Linked DNA regions of Nothobranchius furzeri. The protein of the gene in region 1 binds, or shares a complex with, the protein of each later gene. Links are inferred from orthologs where the notes say so. Each region holds a gene or a part of one and is shown on either strand. Other genes may lie near its edges.

What was found. Proteins that work in one complex are often made in the same cells at the same time.
Region 2: tectonic-1 (region 1) and tmem216 share a complex: the UniProt entries of both Homo sapiens proteins name them as parts of the tectonic-like complex. The link is inferred for Nothobranchius furzeri from reciprocal best matches to the Homo sapiens genes TCTN1 and TMEM216.

Annotation. Positions count from the first base shown.
Region 1 is NC_091741.1:110,005,968-110,010,357, forward strand, and holds part of tectonic-1, read left to right. Parts: coding exon 1-7; intron 8-1,024; coding exon 1,025-1,156; intron 1,157-1,827; coding exon 1,828-1,953; intron 1,954-3,685; coding exon 3,686-3,774; intron 3,775-4,390. UniProt on the Homo sapiens protein: Component of the tectonic-like complex, a complex localized at the transition zone of primary cilia and acting as a barrier that prevents diffusion of transmembrane proteins between the cilia and plasma membranes.
Region 2 is NC_091741.1:65,724,453-65,729,580, forward strand, and holds the start of tmem216 (transmembrane protein 216), read left to right. Parts: upstream 1-1,858; 5' UTR 1,859-1,880; coding exon 1,881-1,935; intron 1,936-2,469; coding exon 2,470-2,483; intron 2,484-2,550; coding exon 2,551-2,644; intron 2,645-2,863; coding exon 2,864-2,956; intron 2,957-5,128. Other genes in the region: tmed9 (transmembrane emp24 domain-containing protein 9), read right to left, coding at 139-295. UniProt on the Homo sapiens protein: Part of the tectonic-like complex which is required for tissue-specific ciliogenesis and may regulate ciliary membrane composition.

The DNA of each region.
Region 1 (4,390 bases):
CGCAGCCGTAAGTATTTATTCTTTTAACAGTTTTTTAAATCTTGTTATTAAAAATGGAACAAATATTTACCAGTGAACTCCGATCAGAACGTGCTGGACAGCAGGAGAGCCAGAGACCTTCTGCAGCTGCAAACCTCTTCGACTCGCCTACAGGAGGTCTAATTTACACCCAGAGCAGCTGGGACAAACCGGAAACAACCTTTCAGCTGTTCCAGGTTAGGATGGGACCACCAGACCGCTGTCTGTAGGTCCCAAAGCTAGAACGTGCAGCAGCTCACGCCACAGCCGTCACTCATCCCAGTCCCAACCTGAGAAGAGCTCTTCTGCTCTTCACTGGCCCGACTTTATGTCAGCAGATTTTACAGATCAGTGAAAACGTTAAGATCTGATCTTTGCTCCGTGTGTGTGTGTGTGTGTGTGTGTGTGTGTGTGTGCGTGTGCGTGTGTGTGTGCGTGCGCGTGCGTGTGCGTGTGTGTGTGCGTGTGTGTGTGCAATTTTTACATATGAACCAAGCTAAAACTGATTCACTGGCTCATCACTTTTATTGAAGTGCGTTAGAGTTAGAGCGCCATAGCTGAGATGGTTGAAAGGCTCTCCGGGCGTCTCTCCGCTGTGAAGATAAGATCCAGGAAGGTTCGGGGCGGCTCCGACCGAACTGCGTCCAGCCGCGGACCGGATCACAGACCGAAAACCAACAGCTCCATTTAATGAGCATGATCAACGAAGCTGCTTCTACGAACCACGGCCTCATTAACCTTCTCCCTCGAGGCGGACCTCCTTCACCCCTAGATGCTGATGATGGCTTGTGTTGTCATGTCGGACGGGATCTGCAGCTTTCACTTCTGCATGAAAATGTTATTTTAGAATACAATCAAGTAACGAGGGAAAGTATAAAAAGCAAATCATTCCTGGTTTTAGGGCAGGAGGACCGAGACAGAGGCTCAGTTCTGCGATGTAACAGAACCGTTCTGCTGCAGGTTCGGTACCAAGTGGAACTAATTTTGTTCTGGTTCTGGTTCCGAGGTTGTTCCTGTGAAGTTGGCTTCAGTCATCTTGGAGTCCACAGAGGGGACATGGAGCGAGCTGACAGACGGAGGTGGAGAAAACCTCACCCCAGTTCTCCTTAACTCCTCCTGCTTCAACGTGGTGGTCCAGGTGAGACCTGCTGGTCCAGTAGGAGTCTGACATAGTGTGCTGTCAGTTCACTTTCATACTAGTGAGATGGTGCTCCTAACCCGACCCCTGATCACCTGTCCAGACCTGCAGCTTATAGTGAGGACACTTTTCTCCCTTTAACCACAGTTCCTGTAGTAGCTACTCAGCGTGGCTTGACACAGGTTGGGTGGTGTTCCATTAACACTGAGAAACGGCTCTGGTGGGTGGGCTCGCCATAAAGCGTGGGGGTGTTGCGCTGGGCCAGTCAGCAACCACATTCATCTGAATTAGCATTTTTTCCATGACTCAGCACGCATGGAAGCAAGACCTTATCCAGAGATTAAAAACGACTGAGGTCCACGTTCCATTGTCCCATCCACATTAGGAAGTCGAGACCAAAATGAAGACGACTGCAGTGCGAAAGCATTCTTATTTTTTATTAAATACAAAGCAGTAAAGTCATCTGGACCTCGGCGTCCTCGGTGACGGACAGTCTGGGGAGGCAGCCTAGAACACGTTACTGAAGGAAATGCTGTGAAATGGCAACATCCCAGTGTCGGTAGGTTCTAATGGAACCATGGCTTTTGTGACCATCAGTTTGTTCAGAGAACTGATGAGGAGCTGTTTTAGTACCTTTAACTAATCAGTAGGTGTTTGATTTGTCTCTTCAGGTGGTCTATGTGCTGAAATATAACCCAGCTGGTGCAGTGGTGAATGCTTCTGTGTCTCTGGTTCTTGGACCTGTCCCTGAAGCCGCTCAGCTGCTGGATCAGCTGTTTCAGATCCAGTTTATTCAGGTACAGTACCCCACTGGGTCTTTCTGTGTCCCAGTAGGATTCCTGGCTCATCAAGTGACATGCTGACCCTGCAGGTAACCACGGCTTGTGTTTTGTGGAAGCAGGGCTGATGCATGGAGGATTTCCTTTCTCAGTCTAAGTCTTAAGTATTCAAATGAACAGTTGGAAAATGTCTAGTAGTGGACTCAGTGGTCTCCTTTAAAGAGCAGCCGAACACACATCTGTTCAGACGGGTTTTCGTCGGAGAAGGCTTAGTAAAACCCAACAGCGCCACCTAGGGTACGGCTCCCTAGGAATCGCTAAGCCCTTAACGCCATAGGCCAATTCACTCAAGAAGTTCAAAGATGGCGTTGTTCCGACGTTCAAGTTTCATTCATAAAAGTTTAAAATCTTTCTCTGAAGTCAAGAGACTTCATCAAATTTAACCGCAGTTGGATCTTCCCAGGTGGTGAATTAACTAAAGGAGAGCAGTGGGCATCCCACCGCCTCCAGGACACCCAGGAAACAGTGCCCACTGAAGACAAAAACAAAATCCCGCCACCACAGCAAACCACACAGGGGGGGGGGGATGCTACACCGGGGGAGGGGAAGAGCACCAACTACCAGCAGTCTCCAACTGGGAGCGAAAGGAAAAAACTAAACTACGCAGATATAAAGAGAGGCATTAAATACAGTCCTGTGGGTGGAGGAGTGTTGGTCATCCATCTGAGGACTCCGCGTTGATGGCCCACTCAGGTGCCTGCCTGCCAAGACTCTCAGCTGTTTGGGTTTCAGCCACACCACAGCTGCTTTTGGTCCCACAGCTCTAGCAGGTCAATGCCATTAGCTCGCCGTCCATCAGACGTCCCGGCGCCATCCTAGCCTACCACGGTGGCTCCTTTGGCCCTGTAATGGCTCTGTAAGCGTTGTCCCAAGCTGGCTGCTCCTCAGTTGTGCCCCCTCCTCATGCACTACTTAGGGCAGACGGAGAAGGCCCAAGCTCTGACCCCCCCCCCCAGCTTGTGGAAGGGAGGGATTGGTCACCCCATGCTGATGGGATGGCAGTAACCAAAAGCCTGATGGAGTAACAGCAATCAGAAGCCTCAACACACCAGCTGTGGTGAGCCAGGAGGCCACCAGGGCCCTGATTGGCTGGCTCCATAGTCAAGGGGAAGTGACAGCAGGTGGAGCAATCCGCTCCACTCTGCCACACATAGAAAAGGTACAGAGAATGGAGAGAAGTGATGAAACTTACTGTGGTGTCAGAAGCCTGACTCTTACTTTGATGACGTATTTGGACATCGGTGCGGTCGTGATGTGACAACGCCGCCAGCTGCTGGACGTTTAGCTCATCTCTAAGTCACTTCTACCTGAGAGCACTTCATCTGACAGTTACTCCACAAGTAGTCTGGTCTGGCTGCATTCTTACGGATTTGTCTCAGTACATTTTTCCTGAGAACTTTTATTCTAAGGCCGCTCAGTCAGATGTTTATTTATTTTTTATGAAACCTGATACTTTATTCTCTATGGTCTGGTGTTTGATCTCATGTGTGACAAAGTTTTCCTGAGACCCGAGGATGTCCTGTAATGCACATTTAAGAGACACGTTTCTGTCGTTCCACAGCTACAGACATGTATCTGGTAACGAGTGAATCTAGTTTTTAGTACAGAAAAAGCTGTCCAAAAAAACAAGTCACACGATAATGCTGACAATCAGCTAAAGGCGTTGTCTGTTTCACTTGTTTATGTAAAGGAGGCCGGTGGAGAAGTGGCTGTCCATCACAGTGGGAATCCAGGGTACGTGGTTGGACTGCCTCTTGTGGCGGGGAAAAGGACAACAGAATATCCTTTTTTTCTGACAATGATGGATTTCTCCGTACGAATCAGACAAATCTCACTTGAATAAGATTTTATCTCACAGACACAAACCATTTCACTTCAGAAAGAGGGAACTATGCTCTGAAACGTTCCAGTAGCCAGAAAGCATATTTAGTCACTCTTTTACACAATATGTTGCTGAAATGTTGCACAATGGTGTGCTACAAAAGCACCTAACCCAAACACAACAGCAGTGGGAGGAGCTCTGCCCTGCAGATTTCAGCTCTGTTCTCCTGCTTAGACACACCCGAGTCAATGATTGAAACACAAGTCTGTTATTGATGTAATGCAGGTGTGTTGGTGTAGAAACAGAAACCGTGCAGGTAGTGGCCCTCCAGGGCTGAGCAGCCTTGTTTTGAACTGTGCTGTTTAATTACACCAAGTGTTGTTTAAGGGGGCCCTTTACTCATTTGTAATACATCTGCAGTGATCGTTAGGAATGAAGGCCTTGTGAGATGGGTGGGCACTCAGATGCATCAGTTTCCACACAGAGAATTCAGCCAGAAGGTTGTAGCTTCAGACGACAGGATCTGGAGTCTTATTTCCTGATATTCAGACAGCTCTCCTCTGATTGGCTAAC
Region 2 (5,128 bases), about 44 Mb from region 1:
AAGCTTCGGAGAGATATAAAACATTTCTGAGCTCAGCACAAGCTTGACATTTGTTGATTTCCTGTGAAGAGACAAGTTTACTTCAACTCAGCATGGCGCTAACAGCTTTAGCTAACAGCATTAAGCTCCGACACTCACCGATAATCATCGTCTCGTCTGGAATTTCCTCTATGAAACATTTCTTCTCGGTCTCTCCGATGTGAAAGTACAAAGAGGAGACGCAGATGTATAAAGCATTCAGGAATAAAACTGAAAACACAAACGACTGCTGCATCTTGAACCGCAACGACACCATCTTCCTGCCGGGACAGACTTGTCACTGAGCATGCGCAGGAACAACAGTGCCACGTAAACCCTCGAAAAGTCCTGGCCAATCAGTACGCTGCTGATGCATGCTGGATATTGCCGTTTTTTTGACACCTTGGCCCTTATTTGAATTAAAATGCTTTCAACGATTTTACAGAACCCTCTGCGATTTTTTGGTTTGGATCGAAATGGGATGTGATTAGTTTCAGAAAACGGATAGATTGATTTTCTGTATAAAGTGATCATTATTTGAACGTGATGGTTATTCTTTTGTCCGACAACAGACATACAATTTCATAAATAAACAATTAAACATTTTCTCCTGCAATCTTTGGGTGATAAATGATAGACTGAATGAATTTGAATTTATAAAGAAAACCAATAGGCTACTTCAGATGAAAAATAGAATAACCCAATTTTGTTTTGTTTTAGCTCTTTATTTGATGAATAATAGATTCATTTGTGGGAAAAATAATAAAGCTTGATTTGATATTTTATTAACGTAACTATATATTCTACAGAAAACACAAAAAACAAAACAGGTTTAGACCATCGACATACACATTAGACCCGTTTTTAATCCACGGGTGCACGTGAAAGACTGTAGAAACTCGATAGATCCAAAAGGGGGCAGTAGTGCAGCCCTTATGATGAAGAGGACCGAAAAAGAAAAACCAGCGCGACCGGAAGCACACAGACATGTAAAATGTAGAAGCTGCACTGAAATCCTCAGACTGCATAATGCATTTATGGCGTGAAATATAGTTTTCCTTTTTTGATTCATTACAAGCCTAAACGTTTTACGATTACAATAGTGTCGGAATAAACAGACAATATATATTTAAAAAAAACATACAACTGGTGAATAATTTTGAGCTAATGAGTTTGGTTTCTTTTAGTTTTAAAAACAATACATTCTTATTGATTTGGTTTAACTAGCACAAAATTATCTTAAGCTCAGTATACTGAAACGATCGATTACCCTGGTGATTGTATTACATTTTATGAGTAACAAACAACAAAAAAAGGCCTAAATAAAAAATAGCCTAAATTTTCTAAATTACTTGATTATTAATCACGAACAATTTTTATATGAAATAAAAATATTTTGATGAACACAAAACAGAGGTAAAGCCCAGTTTCAGTTAGACACCAATTAAACAAAATTAGTTTTCGTCACGTTTCTAACTAAAGATTGAAATGAATCGGGATTTGTCTTAATCCTGCTGTTAGTGTCTGTAGTGCAGTGCAGGCAGCTGATGGAGACTGTTCAGGGTCATCCTGACCAAATGAAGACGGGTGATGATCTGAATACATCTTAAAAAATAGAAAACATGAAGGCGAGTCACTTCTGAGATGCGCCTAAAATGTTCTGCACTGCGACCGGTGTGGATGGATTAAATTTTAAACAGAGATGTTCCGTACCACTGATGCTTCGAGTATGGATTGGGATTAGAGTAGTAAAAGATCTGCTGGCTTTTAGCTGTAAGCCGTTCCAAAAAGCCTGAGTCTGCTTCGCCCGTCTCCCTCTCCAATATGGCGGCTTCGAAATTACATAAAAGAAAGCAGCGTGTATGTGTTCTAAGTCTATGGTATCCATAGCAACCAGAAATCAAGACATGGCGCCTGGTGAGTTTCATGCAGTTGTTTGTTCCTTATAAACCGAATAAAAGTCCGCCGTCTGAATCTGTCGCGATGTTTATTTGGACCCAAATGAAAAGGGAAATGTAACGTTTTCGTTTCCGTTTGGAGGAAAAGCTAAAGAAAACGGCAGCCGAGGTTTATCTTGTCTGTGAACTGAAGCTAAGCGTCTGCTCGAACTGCGATGACCTAAAAATCAACACATTACTTATCAGCGAACACGTTACTGCGTATTACTCCTAAAAGCTACGCAGTAACAAATAATCTTTTTATTGTGGAAAACACGTATTTCGTGCTTTTTTACGTAAACAAAAATATTATTTTATAGATGCAAGATCCAGATGAGTGATTTTCTCTCTATATAAATAGCATTTAGAGCTAGTTACATCATTTAGCCCTACTGTTTTTCTTTTACTATTTTATCCATCAGTAGTAAGTCAGTAATTTTACTGATGCTGATTTTGAGCCTACAGCATACTAATTGCAGATGTTAATGAGAGCTTGGTTCTGTCTCTTCTGCAGGAAGCCAGCCTGTTGTATCCTTATATAACTGGCAGCTCATGTTTTACCTGCTGCTGTTATCCTTGACCGTCTCTCGTACAGCTCTCATCCACTCCTCTGCAGGTGCTCCTGTACCTGAACAGCTGGTACTTTGCTGCCTTCTACCTGGCAGAGATCCTCATGTTCATTTATAAAGGTCTGTGACATATTTACCAAATTTCCCACTTTCACAACAGCAGAAACTATAAACTCAGGAGGAACCATGATTAATCACATCTCAACTGTGCCTTCATCTGCTTTAGTTTTCAAATAAATCCTCAGTGTTCATGAGATAACACCTGGCAACCAAACAGCTCCTTGATGAAACCTTCTCTGTGGAAACCAAAAAGAGATGTGGTCCATTTTGTCTGTGCAGGAATCTTGTTGCCGTACCCATCAGACAATCTGGTTCTGGACGTGGTTCTGCTCCTTCTCTTCCTCGGTTTGGAGACTCTGAGGATCTTTTATGGTAAAGAACAGAAACAGCAAACATGAGTATTTAGAAATCAGTGTTTACTAGTTCTGTGAGCATGTATACGTCACCTCCTCCGGGTGACCACATACTTCCACAGTCACTATAGAGGCAGAGAATGGGTCTAGGGGTCTCATTTATCAGACATTGCGTAGATTCCTTAATAAAACCGTACTTAAGCTCAGCAAAAAAAAAGTACTTACGCCAAGCAGGTTTGTGATCTATCAAACATGGAGGACGCACAGCTGCACGCAATCTCCGCTTCATAAATCGGAGACTAACGAGAATGTTTCTCAGCTGCTTTTTAGTCACATCCCGCCCTCACCACAGCCACTTACTGCCATAAATAGCCAATGCAAAGTGCCTTGTGGATCTCATGCATATACATAAGCTGGCTTGTTGCAGCATTTCGATCACGACCGCAGATCAAGGAAGCGCTATTTCACAAGCAGAAATTCAGGTACTTGTGGGTGAGGTGGAGAAATGAAAGGAAGTGCTTTTGCAAAACAAGAGAAATTCCACGGAGTGGCACAATGTTGCTGAAGCCATCAATGTTTTGAATTCTTCAGAGAGATCTGTGGCGGATATAAAAAACTTTGTCCAATCAGGATTCGATCCCCAGACTCCCAGGTGAAAGTCACGCACGCTAACCAGCCACCCAAACAGAAATCTCCCCTGTACAAGTAGCCAGGGCGCATGATCAATCGGGTCACGGTGACAGGACGCTCACACTGTCTTGATCTGTCCCCCTGCTGATATTCTGCATTCCGTATTCTGCGCTTTAGGCTGTGTGTGTGTGCGCGCGTGTGTGTGTGCATGTGGGGGTCTTGTCTGTGTGAAAACGAAGCAGTACAAGTGATAATGCTGCAGGATTTCATAATTTTATCCTTCTCGGCAGCACTGCAGGTGCTCTCCATGTCCAACATGTGTGTAAGCAAGGTCCTTAGTCAACTTAAAGTTGCGCACATTTTCCTGCTAAGTTTTCTTTCATAAATCCCAAAGTTTGCGTGGAAAGTTCCTTACGCAGTTTTCCGACCCCGTGTTGTGTGTAAGCAAGCTTGATAAATGAGGCCCCAGGTCTATTTGTTTGATGCGCTGTCAGCTTCTCATGAACCCACAGAGAGATGGGATGCATTTCTCCATTTATTATAGCTTTTTACTGTTACAGGTGGCTTTAACTTAATTTGGGTCAAATCCCTAAACATAACGTGACCATGTAAACAAAGTAAGACGAACTGAATTGTAATGGTCAACAATAACTACGGCTACCCATCCCTCCTCTGTAAAACCACCAGGCGACAGACTGACAGCTCCTTTTGATTGCGACCACCTGCACCCATGTGGCCCCTGTTGCGTCACCATGACAACAAAAAGAGGAATAAAACAGAAACCCAGTGATCAACTCTCCCAACACATGTATTTAATTATGGCTCTACAGCACATGTAAGGACTTGTTTTTAAATCCCTGTGAAAATCCTGCACCAGACTGTCTTTGATAAATAACTGAACACAATCATTAAAACTGAAGCTGAACAGTTATATTAGTTATAACATAGAAGTCAGTGTCTCAGTTTGTGTGAACGTGTGTGTCTGAACACGTCATCCAGCAGGAGCTACTGAGAAGAACTCGTGAAGTGAAATGTTTACTGTAAACTCTTTAAACCTCTGATACAAGACTAAGCAGCCAAACCAGCTCTGATTTTAACTTAATGAATTTAACCAGTTTGAAACATGTTCAGTCATCACTGTTTATGAGACGTTTTATAGCAACAAGTACAACAGGTGTCTAAATATACTGAAATCAATTGATTTAAAAATATATAAAAAATAAAAGCTATATAAAGTTTTTAAAGAGGCTTGGATCCTCTGGTTTTAATATAAAGCTACGCACTTCCCAAACGTACCACATGAAATCTGAAGTCAAATCTTGGAAAAAATATCAAAAATCAAATCAAAACAAAACAACAACCACAACCAGTTCAATGACTTTCCCAACCAATCCACCAGTCTGAGGATTACCACAGCATACAGAAAGCAGGCAAAAAAATACCAAACAAACTTAATCATCATCACAAAGTGACATTTATGAGAATCTACACAAGTTCTATTTCATTTCCTGTTTTACCAAGGAAGACATAAATGTGCTTCTAAAAATTGAGGAGAATGTTT